Sus scrofa: one gene and its partner. The protein of the gene in region 2 purifies or fractionates together with the protein of the main gene of each other region. This does not show direct contact. Links are inferred from orthologs where the notes say so. Each region holds a gene or a part of one and is shown on either strand. Other genes may lie near its edges.

Region 1 (7,379 bases), on a different chromosome or scaffold from region 2:
GGGAGGTGGGGGGAGACTGATGTGTGGAAAGACCTGGGTCCTTCGGACCAGACCCCCCGGCCCCTCCACACCCAGAAGAGCAGCTCTGAGCTGCGTGGAAACCGCTTCCACACGAGAAGGGAGAACACTCAGTGCCAGCACGTTGGTGCCAGAAGTGCCTTCAAGGACAGGTGGGCCAAACATCCTTCCCCTCGGGCACTCTCCCAGCCCTTTAACAGGCACCTGCTCCACTCATTGAAGCAGCAGGATTAGCTCAGGGCGCACAGCTCTGCCCAGGATGGGTGCTTATCACCCCAAAATGGTGGGGAGTGGCTTTTACTTTAAAGTTTGTGGGCACTCTCCCCTCTCCTATTCTGTGGGGACCCCTGGAATTTGAGGTTTGAGGAACCCCTACCCCACCCCCGGATTATGCCCAGAGAACCCAGTGCTGCGGGCAGAGCCGCTGATGGTTCTGGCGTCTCTCCCGCTCTCCCCTTGTACCCATCAGGCCAGACCTAACAAAACAGTCTTGCTGGAACCAGGCACCTTCGTTCTCAGACCGAGTCTCTTGACTTTGGAAAGGCCTTGCGAGGCCATAGGTTCCAGACTGTCACTCTACTCTGGACCCCTCTTGTAGCATCTTGACAACCCCACTTCTCAGACACCTCCAGGGGCTCATCACCCTATGAGCAGGCGCCTATTGCAGACAGCTCTGCCCGCCCCCCGCAGGGACATGGATTGTTTCTGGGTCTGATAAGTGACCCTGCCAATCATCTCGACCCTTGGGATGCTGTCAACAGGATCCCATGAACCCTTTCAGCTGGGTCTTCCTTTTAAGTCCTGGGCCAGCAGGTGGACCCAGGGCCAGGCAGAGAATCCCTGTAGGAGGCCCCCCTGGGAACTGACCATTGTCCAGCCCTGCTCCTCTGCCACGGCCACAGGACCTTGGGTGGGAAGCTGCCACAGTGGTGTGATCTCATTAGAGGGACCCTCTGTTCCTCAGCCCAGCATCCCCTTCCCAAGAGGAAATTGATTGTCATCGTGGAACGAGTTCGTGGGGAGCCTGTGCTAGCCCTTAGAGATAACGGATTTCAAAATGTGCTAACAGATGACTTTTAACTGTCCCATCCAAAAACTGTCACCTGGATCAGTGTCAAACTGGTGTTTAACTTCCAACTCTAATCTTCCTTCCGTTAGGAAGGCAGGGCCAGCCTCTGCCCTGCTCCAGTGTCCTGGCATCTCTAAGTGTGCTGTGATTTTGCAAGAATGTCTGTCACAGAATCGGGTTTGTCTGACCCTGGACGTTTAATCATTTAAAGTGACTCGGTTCTCTCCTGCCGTCTGCTGGCGGCTTTTCTCCCTCTTAATTGGGTCTCTTCTACCCTTCCTGGCCTGAAAATCATTCTCCCTGATGGATGAGAGAAGTTAAAAATGGGCGAGGAGCAGCAGGCCTTTAGCCTCTGATCACACCCCATGCACCCCAAGCATCTGTTCTGCTCTTCAGGTTCTGGAGCGAGTTCTCCTCTCACCTTGGCTCTGCCGTCTTCACTGGTCGGAATTCACTTGAGCTCTAGCCTTCCTGACCCAGTTCTTTTCATACTGTTCCTTTTTCTTTTTTCTTGGTTGTGACATGCTGAAGTTTCGGGGCACGGGGGGAGCTCCCATTGTGGCGCAGCAGAAACAAAAGGACTAAGATTCATGAGGATGCAGCGTCAATCCCTGGCCTCACTCAGTGGGTTACGGATAGGACGTTGTTGTGAACTGTAGTGTAGGTTGAAGATGTGGCTTGGATCCTGCTTTTCAGTGGCTGTTGTTTAGACCGGTAGCTGTAGCACCGATTCAACCCCCTAGCCTGGGAACTTGCATATGCCCCAATAAGTTGTTTCTGGGCCATGGATCGAACCTGTGCCACAGAAGTGACAGTGCCAGATCCTTAACTCACTGAGCCACCAGGGAGCTCCATTCATCCTGCTCCTTTTTTTTTTTTTTGTCTTTTTGCCTTTTCTAGGGCCACTCCTGTGGCATATGGAGATTCCCAGGCTAGGGGTTGAATCGGAGCTGTAGCCACCGGCCTACGCCAGAGCCACAGCAACGTGGGATCCGAGCCGCGTCTGCAACTTACACTACAGCTCATGGCAACACTGGACCTTTAACCCACTGAGCGAGGCCAGGGATTGAACCTGCAACCTCATGGTTCCTAGTTGGATTCATTTCCACTGCGCCACGACGGGAACTCCCATCCTGCTTCTTGATTACCTAATTTCAGCTTCTTTATTTTATTTCGGTTACAGTGGTGACAGCAGCCATGGTTCCACTCAATTCGGTAGCAGCATTCGTGCGCTCAGCACTCTGCTGGGCACCTGTGGGGTGTAGCTCAGGTTCATGTGCTCTTAAGGAATGGATCCTCTTGCGAGGGAACAGGCCTTGGACACGGGAGAAGTGGCGAGCTCTGCGACGTGCCTCCACGCTCCTGTCGGGCTTTGCTTCTCTCCCTGCCCCCTTTCCTCTCGGTATTCAGAGGATGGATCACTGGGCCAGAACTGACTGCCTGACTCGCTGGGTCCTACCTCCTCTAAGGCTCCGCCTGCCCCCGTCATAACTAGGGACCTGGATTAAGATTTTCTGATTCAAGGTCCCCTCGGCTCCCCTCGTCTCCACCGGAGACCCCTGAGGAGTCTCTGCTCAGAAGTGGGGACTCGGGGCTTCTGCTAGCTGGACTGTTTATGACCTGAAACTTGAAAGTCATTTCGTGTTTGGGTCCCCCACTGGCAAAGCAGCCTTGCCCCCGACAGCCAGCGGGAAGTGAGGGCTCCGTGCTGTCGGCAGAGGCTGCCCCCCTCACCGGCTCTCTGACTCGGAGGGGTGTTTCTGTGTCTTGCAGATGGAGAAGGATGAGACTGTGAGCGACTGCTCCCCGCACATAGCCAACATCGGGCGCCTGGTAGAGGTGAGTGGGCCCCCTGCAGCCGCGGTTCGCCTCCCCGGCGTGTGGCGTTTCGCTCCTGGAGCCTGTTTGTGGGGCTCAGCTCCGAAGGCACACCCTCCAGTGCCCCCCAAACGCATGCTCCAGAAGCCTTAGATCCTGTCTCCCTGGGTCCACTGGGCGCACAGGGAGACCTGAGCTTGGAAAGAAGGCAGGTGGTCCTGGGGGCACCAGGGCTCTGGAGGCGCCTCGGCTTCCCCTTCCCCTCAGCGCCTGGAGGAAGAGGCTCCCTCCAGCTTCACTGACTTGTTCGTGGTGTCGGCAGGGCTCGGGGTGGTGATGTGGGTTAGACCAGCTCCCAGGAATGCCAGGACCTGGGTCCGAGGAAAGGAAGGCGCCCAGAGTTAGAAGCGAGGTCTCGGCCGCCAGCCTCCCTCGCTGGCTTTGGCGCAGGCATGCGTCCCCACCCTGTGGTCACAGCAGGGACTGCAGGGATGCAGGTGGGGGGAAGGAGGGCACGGGTCCCACCCGTCTGACTGAGCTCCCTTTCCAGGACATGGAAAATAAAATCAGAAGTACGCTGAATGAGATCTACTTTGGAAAGACGAAGGACATCGTCAACGGGCTGAGGTAATGTACCAGAAGCACAGGCTTTGGAACAAAAAAGATGCGCTTACCAGCTCTCTGGCCTTGGGCCTCAGTTTCCTCATTTGTAGAACAGGGCTGTCAATGCAGATTTAGACGATCGAGCAGCGCCTCTTGAGGAGGTGTCGGTGCCGCAACGGGGCACATCACCCTTACCGGCACTGGGGTCCTCACCCCGGGAGTCACCTCCTCGGTCCCCAGGCCTGTGGGTCCCACCTGCAGAAGCTGCCCAGCCCCTTGGGCTCTGCGGCCTGAGGACCCCTTCACTCAGACCCTAAGGGGCGCAGGGAGTGGTGCTATGGCTGCCGGTTGGCTGGAGCTCAGGGCTCTGTTGGCCGCCCCTCCCCACACATCTTGTGCCCTCGGGGGGCTGGCTGGGTCCTCAGAGTCATCGTGGGCAGGGCAGGAGGCCAGAGCCCCCTTGGAGGCAGCCCCAACGCGGCCTGCTGTGCGGAGTGAGCACCAGCTTTGGAGTCAGGGGGCTGGGATCTCCTGCAGGCTCTGTCACCCTGAGCTCTGTGACCTTCAACCGGTCACTCCTGTCCATGGCCCTCTGCCCGCCCAGGAGCAGGGCTGCTGAAGGGAGGCGGTGAGAGGAGCCTGGCTGCAGCTCTGCTCCACTCCAGAGTCCCGCAGCTTTGCCTTCCCCTGGCCATGGAGCCCTGAGCTTCCTGGCCTGGGGTCCCTGCACCAGCCACGGCAGACACACCCGGCCAGCCTGCAGGTCCTCTGGTGATGGCCAGAGAGTCAGAGAGGGCCGCAGGGAGCTTGGCGGGTAGAGGTCTGAGTCCCTGAAAACCCTGACCAATGCCGGCGAGAGCTCCACGGCCATGGCCTCCACCCATGGCCTCCACACCGTGCAGCGGATGCCCCCTCTATCCCCCATACTTCCCCTGAGCTGCCGCCCCGCCCTGTGCCCCTGGGTCCGAGCGCCCTTCTTGCCGCGCTCATCTCTGCACGCTCTCTGTAGATCTGTTGACGTTATCCCCGACAACCCCAAGTTTCAGCAGCTGCAGAGGGAGCTTTCCCAAGTGCTGACACAGCGCCAGATCCACATCCAGCCTGATAACTAAGCCGCCAGGTACCCTGCCTGAGAGGCCTGAGCGCCCGCCCCACTAAACAGGACTCACCAACCCGCCGAGACCCCGCCGGAACCTTTAAACACCACTAACCCCGTTAATGTGTAGACTCGACCCCCGTAACACAGACCCGAATCACGTGTGTGGTGTGTGTGCTTTGCACTCTGGGGGCATGGACGGGGCCGCCTGGGCTTTAGCTCCTCAAGATGCCAGCCTGGGGGTTGCCTTGGCCTCAAGCACAAGCCACCTGCCTGTGCTGCCGTGATTGGCGCAGAGCGGGGGTCTGCACCCTGCCTTCGCTCAGCCGGCGGCTTCGGGCGACCTCTGAATCTGCTGTGTGTGCACCCAGTGCCTTGCCAGCTTTTCAGTCCGGGATCCCAGAAGCCCATTAGGCCCCTTGTCACTGGGAGATTGACCGGGGCTAGCCGACTTAAAGGGGGCCTATTGCCCCAAGTCTGAGGACAGAGCACAGTGGGGCTGTCATCCCCCAGTTGGGCCTGGTCACCCCCAGACTGGGTGCTCCCAGAGCCGCCAGGACCAGTATAACCCTCCGCACCTAGAGAGCTGCAGCTGTCCTCCGAGATGCCTTACGCTGATGGAAAGGAAAGTCCTCTTGCTTGTTGACTATGGCCAAGAACCGTGGCTTGAGCCTGTGACAGATACAGACGCAGGAAGGCAGTCGGCCTCCCTGGAGAGGAGGGAACTGGTCTTAATAGAAGGCGTTTGGGAACCCAGCCAGGCGGGGCTGCAGAGCCTGGGGTTAGGGGCTGCCTCTCAGGCCCAGGGCTGGACAAGGAGGCCCCGACCCAGAAGAGGCTCAGTGGGGTTTCTGGGGTGGGTGGGGCTGGGGGCCCTTGTGTGGCCAAGGAGAGCTGCTGCTCTGCGTGCGTAGGTCTGTGTGTGTGCCAGCTTCAGCCTGGGGTGCTCATGCTGGGACGTCCCCTTCCCATCACAGCAGGAAGAAACCCCCTTTTAAGGCATTCGCTATAGCATAGTTTTCTCTCCAGCTCCTCAGCTTTTAGGGTGGGTCTGGAATCTTCTGGATCCCTTGCCTTGGCCAGTTCAGTGACTGCCCACTGGAGACTTTTCAGCATAGACACCCCCCCACCCCCCAGCAGTGGGCAGCCTGGCACCCACTGTCTAGGACAGGTGCTCCCTTCCCACACAGGTCAGCGCGTCCTCTGGGCATTGGTTCCGGGTTGCTTTTGCCGTGGCCTTCCTGAGCTCGGTCCCCCATGCGAGTGCTCTGCTCCTTATACCTCCAGCTGTTCCAAGCCTAACCTCTTGTCTCTCACCTGATTCTAACTCTGGAAATGTCTCCTTGGGGGGAGGGGCGGGGGTGGGGGCAAGGAACAGCCCAGACCTGACGTGCTCCTTCCCAGAAGAGCCAACCTCCCCCCCTGTGGCCCTGGAGCCAGATGAGCCTCCGGCTCGCCCACTGTATCCTCCCATAGGGCGTGTTAACCTCCCACGGGGAACTTCCCAGAAGCCTGTGGCAGGCGAGCTGAGGTTTGGAGCCTGAGGGCCGCTAGGGCTGGTGTCTGAGCCCTTCTTTGACCACCAGAGCAGTGCAAATACTCAGAAATGTGTATTTCAGCAGCATCAACCAATTTTTTAGTTGCACAAAATCTTGTGTTTGCCACCCTCTACCATTCTGAGGGCACTACCCGGGATGCTTCTAGGATTCAGGAGCCAGAATCCCACGTGGGACGCTCTTGTTCCCACCGGGCCCTTCGTCATTGTACTTCCTGCGTGTTCAGCGCTGGGGGATTTGTTTTTGGTCCCACCTTCCCGTGCTCTCTCACGGCCAGTGCTGTCAACTTGAGTCCGCTGGCTCCACAGCATCCCTGCAAGGCAGCCTCCCACTCTCTCCTTCCACTGACTTGGAACTGGTAGAAAGTTTGTAAATAGTTAGTATTCCTGGTTCACCCACACATTGGGTACATTTGATAAAGTGATCATTCTGGTCCTTGCTGGGGCATGTCTCTGAGCCTCAGTTTCTTCATCTGTACATTGGGAATAACGCCCAGACCTTTCCAGGACACTTGTGAGAATGTGCGTGTCAAGCACTCTGTGAATTGTACAACCTCTGTAGAGCTTAGTTGTGTTCGCTTTGCCGAACCCACGTGTAAGGGCTCGCACGTGAACACTTACCCACAAATCCAGGATTTGGCAGCAGCGAGCCAGGGCCACTTACCTCAGTCCTGTCCTGCTTCTTAAAATTCAGGCTGAGGGATTTTCCTGGCCAGGTGAACAGCTGATGGTGCCCCAGCAGAAGCCGGGAAGTGCCTGCCCTGCAGGTCCTGCCCTGGCCTTGAGCGTGGTGGGCTCAGGTGCCCGAGCTGCTGGTTCTCGGACACCCGCGGGGTGAGCAGCGAGCCGCCCTGCTCCGTGGTAGGGTCCTTGCGGCCACAGCGCTCTGAAGCACAGAGGGTCTTGGCTGCGTCATGCTTGGAAGCCAGAAGCCATCTCTGGTTCAGGCTGCTCCTGGGGCCTGTGCTGAGTCCGGGTCACCCCAGCCTGGTGCAGAGGCGAGGCTGTGGCCTCCCCACAGGGCCCCGGCGAGGTGCCGAGGGGCAGGCCTGGGCTCTGGGCTCTGGGCTCCGGCCCCTCTGCAGGCCTGCGCTCCTGCTCCTGGAGAAGATCCCAGGCCCACACTGGTCGTGTTCCGCCTGCTCATGCCAGTTCTTTTCCTCCCGGGCAGGTCTGTGCAGACTTTTGCAGACAAATCAAAACAAGAAGCTCTTAAGAAC
Region 2 (7,955 bases):
TAGCCTGGGAACCTCCATGTGCCGTGGGTGCAGCCCTCAAAAGACAAAAAAATAGGAGTTCCCATCGTGGCACAGTGGTTAACGAATCCGACTAGGAACCATGAGGTTGCGGGTTCGATCCCTGCCCTTGCTCAGTGGGTTAAGGATCCAGTGTTGCCGTGAACTGTGGTGTAGGTTGCAGACTCGGCTCGGATCCCACATTGATGTGGCTCTGGCGTAGGCCGGTGGCTACAGCTCCTATTCAACCCCTAGCCTGGGAACCTCCATATGCCGCGGGAGCGGCCCAAAGAAATAGCAAAAAGACAAAAAAAAGAAAAAATAAAATAAAAATAAAATAAATAAAATTGTTAGTTTTACGTTATGGGACTTTCACTTCAATTTGTCTTTTTAAAGGGCTGCACTAGTGGCATGTGGAAGTTCCCCAGCTGGGGGTCCAATCAGAGCTGTAGCTGCCCAGCCTACGCCAGAGCCACAGCAGCACCAGATCCAAGCAGCGTCTGCAACCTACACCACAGCTCACGGCAACGCCAGATCCTTAACCCACTGAGCGAGGCCAGGGATCAAACCCTCAACCTCATGGTTCCTAGTTGGATTTGTTTCCACTGAGCCACAACGGGAACTCCTCACTTCATTTTTTTTTTTTTTTTTTTTTTTTTTGCCATTTCTTGGGCCGCTCTCTCGGCATATGGAGGTTCCCAGGCTAGGGTCGAATCGGAATTGTAGTTACCGCCTACGCCAGAGCCACAGCAACTCGGGATCCAAGCCGCGTCTGCGACCTACACCACAGCTCATGGCAACGCCGGATCGTTAACCTTCACTTCAATTTAAAATAAAGATAGGTGGGAAGTTTCCATTGTGGCGCAGTGGTTATCGAATCTGACTAGGAACCATGAGGTTGCGGTTTTGGTCCCTGCCCTTGTCCTCAATGGATACCAGTCAGATTTTTTTTCCACTGAGCCATGTCAGGAACCCCTAGACTTTTTTATTTACTTATTCTTTGGCTGCACCTGCAGCATATAGAATTTCCTGGGCCAGGGATCAAAACTGCACCACAGCAGTGACAACATGGAATCCTTAATTGCTAGGCCATCTGGGAACCCCAAGACTTAAAAAAATTTTTTTTTTTTGGTCTTTTGTCTTTTTTTTTAGGGCTGCACCCACGACATATGGAAATTCACAGACTAGGGGTTGAATCAGAGCTGTAGCTGCCAGCCTACACCACAGCCACAGCAACACGGGATCCAAGACGTGTCTTCGACCTACACCACAGCTCATGCTCCCTAACCCACTGAGTGAGGCCAGGGGTTGAATCCAGGTCTTCATAGATACTAGTCAAGTTCGATAACCACTTAGCCATGACGGGAACTCCAAGACTTTTAATTTTTAATGTAAATTAATTTGTTGGTTTCTTTTTTTTTATGATTTTTGGGCTTGGTGACATACTCAGAAGGACGTCTCCACTCCAAGATTTTACAATCTTCTCCCTTTGTTTCTTCAGAATTTTAATAGTTCACTGTTTTAAAAAAGCACATTTAAATCCTTGATACACCTGATAAAAAAACTATTTCAGTGGCTGACTTTGTGTGGAGAAACAGCAAGAAAAGAGAAAGCTGGAGTTCCTGTCATGGCTCAGTGGTTAACGAATCCGACTAGGAACCATGAGGTTGCAGGTTCAGTACCTGGCCTCACTCAGTGGGTTAAGAATCTGCCGTTGCCGTGACCTGTGGTGTAGGTTGCAGACATGGCTCGGATCCCGTGTTGCTGTGGCTGCGGCATAGGCTGTTGGCTGCGGCATAGGCTGTTGGCTACAGCTCCGATTAGACCCCTAGCCTGGGAACCTCCATATGCCACAGGAGCGGCCCTAGAAAAGGCAAAAGAAAAAAAAAAGAAAAGAAAAGAAAGGAGCAACCTACCTGTTCCTAGACACTCTGATCATCCCTGGACTCATTCGAGGAGCTGCATGCAGCTTTCTTATCTTTCTGCCTAAAACCGGATCTCAGCCAGAGATGGAGTCTGCTGGCCCTTGTGCTCCTCACTGCATCCTTGGTTTTGAAGCTGAGCAGAACTGGGCTCCAACCCCAGCTTCCAGGAAGTTCCTTTCTCTGGTTAAACCCTCATCACTGAGGTGTGAGATAGTGATGGAAGCAATGAGGGCCACTGCCCAGCAGGGCTTCTCATCGTTTGTTCCTTTTTCTCTTTTCCTTTCTTTCTTTTTCATTACAGTATAGTTGATTTACAGTGTTTTTTCAATTTCTGCTGTAGATCTGTTCCCGTTCCCTAAGTTAAGGAAACTAAGGTTCTTGGGGATACTCACTACCTTGTGACTTTGATCAAATCACTTTATCTTTCTGAACCTCAAATTTCTTCTGTAATGTATGTAACAACACATACATTACAGGACTTTCATAAGGACTGAATAAACGTGTCCAGCCATAGTAAGTGTGCAACACAAAGATTCTAATAGTTCATTCAGACATTGTTTTAATTTGGCAAATATATATATATATATATATATTTTTTTTTTTTTTTGCTTTTTAGGGCTGCACCCATGGCAATATGGAGGTTCCCATACTAGGGGTCGAACTGGAGCTACAGCTGCTGGCCTTTACCACAGCCACAGCAGTGCCACGTCTGAGCCATGTCTGTAACCTACACCACAGCTCACAGAAATGCCAGATCCTTAACCCACTGAGCGAGGCCAGGAAGTGAACCTGCAACCTCATGGTTCCTAGTCAGATTCATTTCCACTGCGCCACGATGGGAACTTCTAATTTGGAAAATATTACTGAACACCTACTAATCCTGGGCACTGTTCTAGCTGCTGGAGATACAGCAGGGGTAAAAACTTAAACTGGTGGAGGGAAGACAATAAACAAATAAGCGAGTAAATATATGTGCCAGGCAGGGATAAAAACAAAGAGAATGATGCAGAGTGGGGCCAACCAGGTAGGAGGGAGGACTTTGCAATTAAGGTAGTCGTGTAATTTATCCAGTGATGGACATTAGAATAGAGAACATAACCTTATTAGTTTTAGTTAATGTGTTTTCTTGGTTAATTCCTATTTCCAAGGAATTTTTTTTTTTCAGGGCCGCACCCATGGCGCAGGCATATGGAGGTTCCCAGGCTAGGGGTCTTAATGGAGCTACAGCTGCTGGCCTACACCACAGCCACAGCAACGCCACATCCGAGCCGCGTCTGGGACCTACACCACAGCTCACAGAAATGCCGAATCCTTAACCCACTGAGTGAGGCCAGGGATCAAACCTGCAACCTCATGGTTCCTAGTTGGATTCGTTTCTCCTGCGTCGCGAAGGGAATTCTGCAGTCTCCTCTTTTCAGAAGACTTTCCCCACCCCTCTGCCAGGCTTTCCTCCAGGTTTCCACTCAAATTTCACCTCCTCCTAACGGCCCCTTACCCTCTGCACAGGGCACTCGCCACCACAGACACTGTTCATTTGCGGGCTGTCTAGCAGAAAGTCAGTTTGGGCTCCCACCGTCAGGACGGGGCCTTCAGGCGCGTCGCCTCCAGGTGCCCAGGGCCACAGGAGCCGCCCAAGAAACGTCTCCAAGGAAAGAGATGTCACACAAACACACGGGTGCCCATTCACACACAGAAAAACCCCTTCCCCGCTTCAAGGCCACGCCAGGATGCTACCCATCTGCAAACCCACCTGGCCCCTGACCGGGACTCAGGCTTGCGCGCGCTCATATGGATACGCCCCAGCCACAGACCACTCGGATCCGGGTGTACTGACACACACGTGCATGCGCCCACACATGCTAGGCGGTACGCAGATCGCATTCTCCGCCAGAAACAAGGCAAGCGCAAGCGCGCGGAAACACCACTCAAAGCTCCTCCCTGGGCCCACCTGGAGCCAGGCGCCTACTGCACGCACGCGCGGCCTCGAGTCCCGGCCTCGCCCGTCGGAGGCGGGGCGCTCTGGGGGCGGGTCCTGCGGCACCGCCCGGGAAGCTGCGCGAGGCTGGGAGGCTACCGCCACATCCTCCTCCTCCTTCTCCTCCTCCCGGTCCAGACGAGCCGAGCTGGGTCGTGGCCGAGCCGAGGGCTCTGAGGGCGCAGGCGGAGCGGGGCACGGAGCCATGGCGCACCAGACCGGCATCCACGGTGAGGGCAGATGGCGGACGGACGGGGGGCCGAGGGAGAGTCTGAGGCTGCGCCCCCTCCTGGGCTCCCGGCCCCTGTTTCCGATCCGGCACCAGCCTAGGGAAGCTTCCTGTTCTCTTGCAGCCGTGGGTCGCCTGGGGTGGGCAAATCTTAGTGGGGTGCGGACTTACTGGGCATAGTTGGGGGTGAAGGTATCTCTGTTCCCATCCGGGGGTGGATGTGCCTGTGTGTGCCTATCTATGTATTTTTGTCCCTTTCTGGGAGTGGGTGTACCCGGATGTGCACATCTGAGGGAGTGAGCACGCATGTGCACTTGTATGTACGGACCTGTGTGCACATCTGGATATGACTGCTTGTGTACATCTAGGGTCATTCGTGCACATACAGCAATGTCTTGATTGGACACTGTTGCATGGAACCATCTTTAGACATCAGTGTTTCGTGACTGTATGCACATGTCTGTGGGAGTCTGTGTGTGTGTGTGCACGCACAATTTGAGTGCATCTCAGTGTTCATTTGTTACCATGGATGGGTGTTTGGTTTGTACTGCTTTATGTCTGTGTGAGAAGGGAGCCCCGACCTTTGGCTCCTCCCAGGACCCTCACAAACCAGCCTGGGAAAAACTAAATGGGATGTGGAGAGTCACCAATCTGACCTTGACCTCTGATCTCCTGAGTCTGCCCCAGCTGGTATTGGAAGGTCCCAGCTCCAGGCTGGAGGTAGGAAAGAGGCTCCTGACCCTAGAGATTCCAGGCCAGGTCCTCCTTCAGCCCAGAGCATCAGCCTCCTCTCCCAAATGGCTTGGTTTCCTCCTTATACAGGATGGGAAAGAAGCAATGACCAGGGGCCAGGTGTTCTGACCCTACCCAGGCCTCAATGTCCCCCTGTGTCACTGACCTGGGAGGGCTACCTGGCCTGTGGGGAAGGCCCAGGCTGCTTACCCAGGTAGCCCAGTGGTTTGGCCTTCAGCCATTCCTCCTACCACGCCAGGATCCTCTGCCTGGGGCCATCATCATCGACCAGCCTGACCACCTGGTCTGCTTGCGGTTGTGGCCGCTTGGTGGCTGGCCCTGAGAGGGTTTCCCTGGCCCCGCCCACAGGACCAGAAAAGGCAGAGGTCTGGGTCTGGGCCAGCTACTCTCCAAGAAGAGCTGGAGGGGCAGCTTCATGACTCAGCCCCACAGAAGGGAACAGCCCCTCACTGGACCTGCCCCTTCCTTCCCCTTTGTCTGATCGTTGCTGTCACCTCTAACTGGGAGGGGATCAGAAGTTAGGGCTCCTCCTCCCCTCTCTGGGCTGACCAGTCCTGTGGCCTGGGCCCTCCCTCACTCCCTCATTTCCCATATGCTGAGATGAGCCTGCCTAGGGGAATCTGGGGGCTGAACCCCTTTCCCAGCCCTCCTTCTGTGTGAGGGCAGCCCACTCCTTTCCATTTCTGGCCTGGGGAGGTGGCAGGAGAAATCACCCTGGATGCCCAGGTGCCAGCCCTGACCTGGCTATAAGTGTGGATCTGCTGACCTCAGAGCAGGGCAGGGGAGGGACCTGTAACCTGAGGCTTACTGGGTGGAGGGGTGGGGGGTAAGGCAGCAAGTGGGTGAGAGTAGGGGGGGCATGAATCTTTGATGATTGAGGCTCAGGTATCCCAGGCCTGGCCTCTGGATTATTGATGGTGGCTGAGGAGGCATGGAGGGGGATGTCTCTCCCACTACTGGGGTGTCAGTTTGTCCTGGTAACAATAGAAGCAGTAGGTCTGAGCAGGTGGAAGGAACAGCTCAGCACAGCCTGCCCCGCGTCATTACAGTAACACAAGTTAATGATTATTATTAGGAGAGGCCCCCGTTGCGGAGCACTGTCTCCTATTTACTCCTCAGCATTTGGGGAGTATTAGCCCCGTGTTATAGATGGGTTTGAGGTTCAGTGAGGTCAGAGGTCACACACAGCTACCGGAAAGGTGGAGCCCCAGAATCCAGGCTCTTCATCATGGACCAGCTTGGGGTCCACAGAGGAGCAGCTCTGTCCTGGCCCACTGGGGCTGTGTCCATGCCAGGCTGCTCTGAGCCCCAAGGGCCTGCTGAACTTAGCTGGGACCCTGCCCTCCCAGCAGCCTTGGAGGCTTGTATACAGCCTGAGGTCTCAGGCTCAGGGTCACCCTTCATGCAGGCCACCCGAGGACATGACCAGAGTTTGTTTTCCTAAAGGTCCCCCCGCCCCCGCCACACCCAAGCTGCCCAGTCTGGGCCCTATAAATATTCTCTGACCTCAGCCCTCCAGCTGTGCTCCTGCAGAATTCTCCTGACCCCTGGGCAGCCCCAAGGTCATGCTGGCCTGGTCCTGTGCACCCAGAGGCCCAAGCAGGGCCCTTCCCAACTTAGACCTTGGTTTCCTCATCTGAACCATCAGTGAATCTGTGACTTCTGTGGTTCCCTAGTTCTGACCACAATCCTCACCTCTGTACCTGGGTCCCTATTCATTGGCCATCACCTTCCAGCTCTGTGGCTCAGGGACCAAGACAGGGACTGTTTTGGAGAGTCTCCAAGAGCCATTCCTCTTCCCAGCTGCCGGGGGTAGGGGCTTATCACCCCCTGGTGGGGCTGAGCCAGGGTTGGCCTGCCTCCTCAGGGCCTCTCAGGGTTAGGCAGCCTGGCTGGTGGGCTGGGGCTGGGTATGCATGCATGCATGTGTCAGTGTGTACCTCTGTTTTTTTGGGTACATTTTGTACAGCTTCTCTCTTGCACACATATGTCAGTCACACTCTGCATTTGCCTGTCTGCGAATTTCCTAGCACCCTGGGGACTGTATCTGTGTGTGTGTACATTCGTACATCTAAATGTGTGTGTCCATTCGTACATCTAAATGTGTGTGTCCATTTCTGTTTGACCAGCTGAGAGTGTTTGCGTTTCTGTTCCTCTTTCTGTCGCATAGTGTTTATGTGTAACATTCGCATATGCTGGATTGGTATGTACCTATTGGCACATGCAATGTGCATTGCATGTGTGCATGTGTGTGTGTTTGCATGGGCATGTGTAGACAGACACAGTAATCAGTGCACATTGGGGGCAGTTGTTCATGTATTTCTCTCTGTGGATGTGACAGTCTTGGGAAGGTCCCAGGCCAGCTCAGTGCTGGGCTTTCCTGGGGGGCAGGAGATAGGTGGGGGCCATTCACTCTGGCTGGTTTGGCCTGTCCCAGAGCCCGCCCCCATTCTCGAGTGGGCCGTCCCACCCCTGCATGCCCTGTCAACGGAGCTCTCACAGCCAGCAGGCCGCCCGCCTGCCACCTCTGTTGGCTAAATTTGGGAGCTTGTGTTCAGCGGCTGTCTCGGGTTCCCAGTCACATGGGGGGCCGTATTTAACCCGGCTCCCAGCTCCACCACCAGACCCCCCAGGACGGAGCAGGCCCTGAGTGTCTCTGCCCATTCCCTCTGCCTGCTCCTCCCCCACCATGTTTCTTGTTCTTGTAGCCACCGAAGAGCTGAAGGAGTTCTTTGCCAAGGCACGGGCTGGCTCTGTGCGGCTCATCAAAGTCGTCATTGAGGACGGTGAGTGCCTCCTACGGGCGAGGGCACAGGCTGGTGGCTGGGCCCAGCTGCTTCTCTGGGAGGTGGGGGGATGTGGGTCTTTAGCCCCCTCAGGACCTCAGTTTTCCATCTGGGAATGGGAGATGCCGTGTCGGAGAGTCGGGGGGAGCCACCGTCATTATGCCTGTTGTACAGAGCCGGAAGCGAAAGCTAGGGAGGGAGCACAGAGAGCCCTGCCCAGGGTCCTCCCCGCCTCACAGAGGCTCCGAAGGTATCAGCAGGGCCGATTGGGAGGCTGGGCTGGGTGGGGC

The links. Proteins that work in one complex are often made in the same cells at the same time.
Region 1: the proteins of TWF2 (region 2) and CAPZB purify together in Homo sapiens (co-immunoprecipitation; 3 studies listed by BioGRID and IntAct, with this or other methods). This does not show direct contact. The link is inferred for Sus scrofa from reciprocal best matches to the Homo sapiens genes TWF2 and CAPZB.

The regions. Positions count from the first base shown.
Region 1 is NC_010448.4:77,781,471-77,788,849, reverse strand, and holds part of CAPZB (F-actin-capping protein subunit beta), read left to right. Parts: intron 1-2,860; coding exon 2,861-2,926; intron 2,927-3,455; coding exon 3,456-3,532; intron 3,533-4,517; coding exon of another isoform or gene 4,518-4,620; exon of another isoform or gene 4,621-4,628; intron 4,629-7,330; coding exon 7,331-7,379. UniProt on the Homo sapiens protein: F-actin-capping proteins bind in a Ca(2+)-independent manner to the fast growing ends of actin filaments (barbed end) thereby blocking the exchange of subunits at these ends.
Region 2 is NC_010455.5:34,366,972-34,374,926, reverse strand, and holds the start of TWF2 (twinfilin-2), read left to right. Parts: upstream 1-3,929; 5' UTR 3,930-4,102; coding exon 4,103-4,127; intron 4,128-7,587; coding exon 7,588-7,665; intron 7,666-7,955. Other genes in the region: TLR9 (toll-like receptor 9), read left to right, coding at 4,103-4,127, 7,588-7,665. UniProt on the Homo sapiens protein: Actin-binding protein involved in motile and morphological processes. Inhibits actin polymerization, likely by sequestering G-actin. By capping the barbed ends of filaments, it also regulates motility.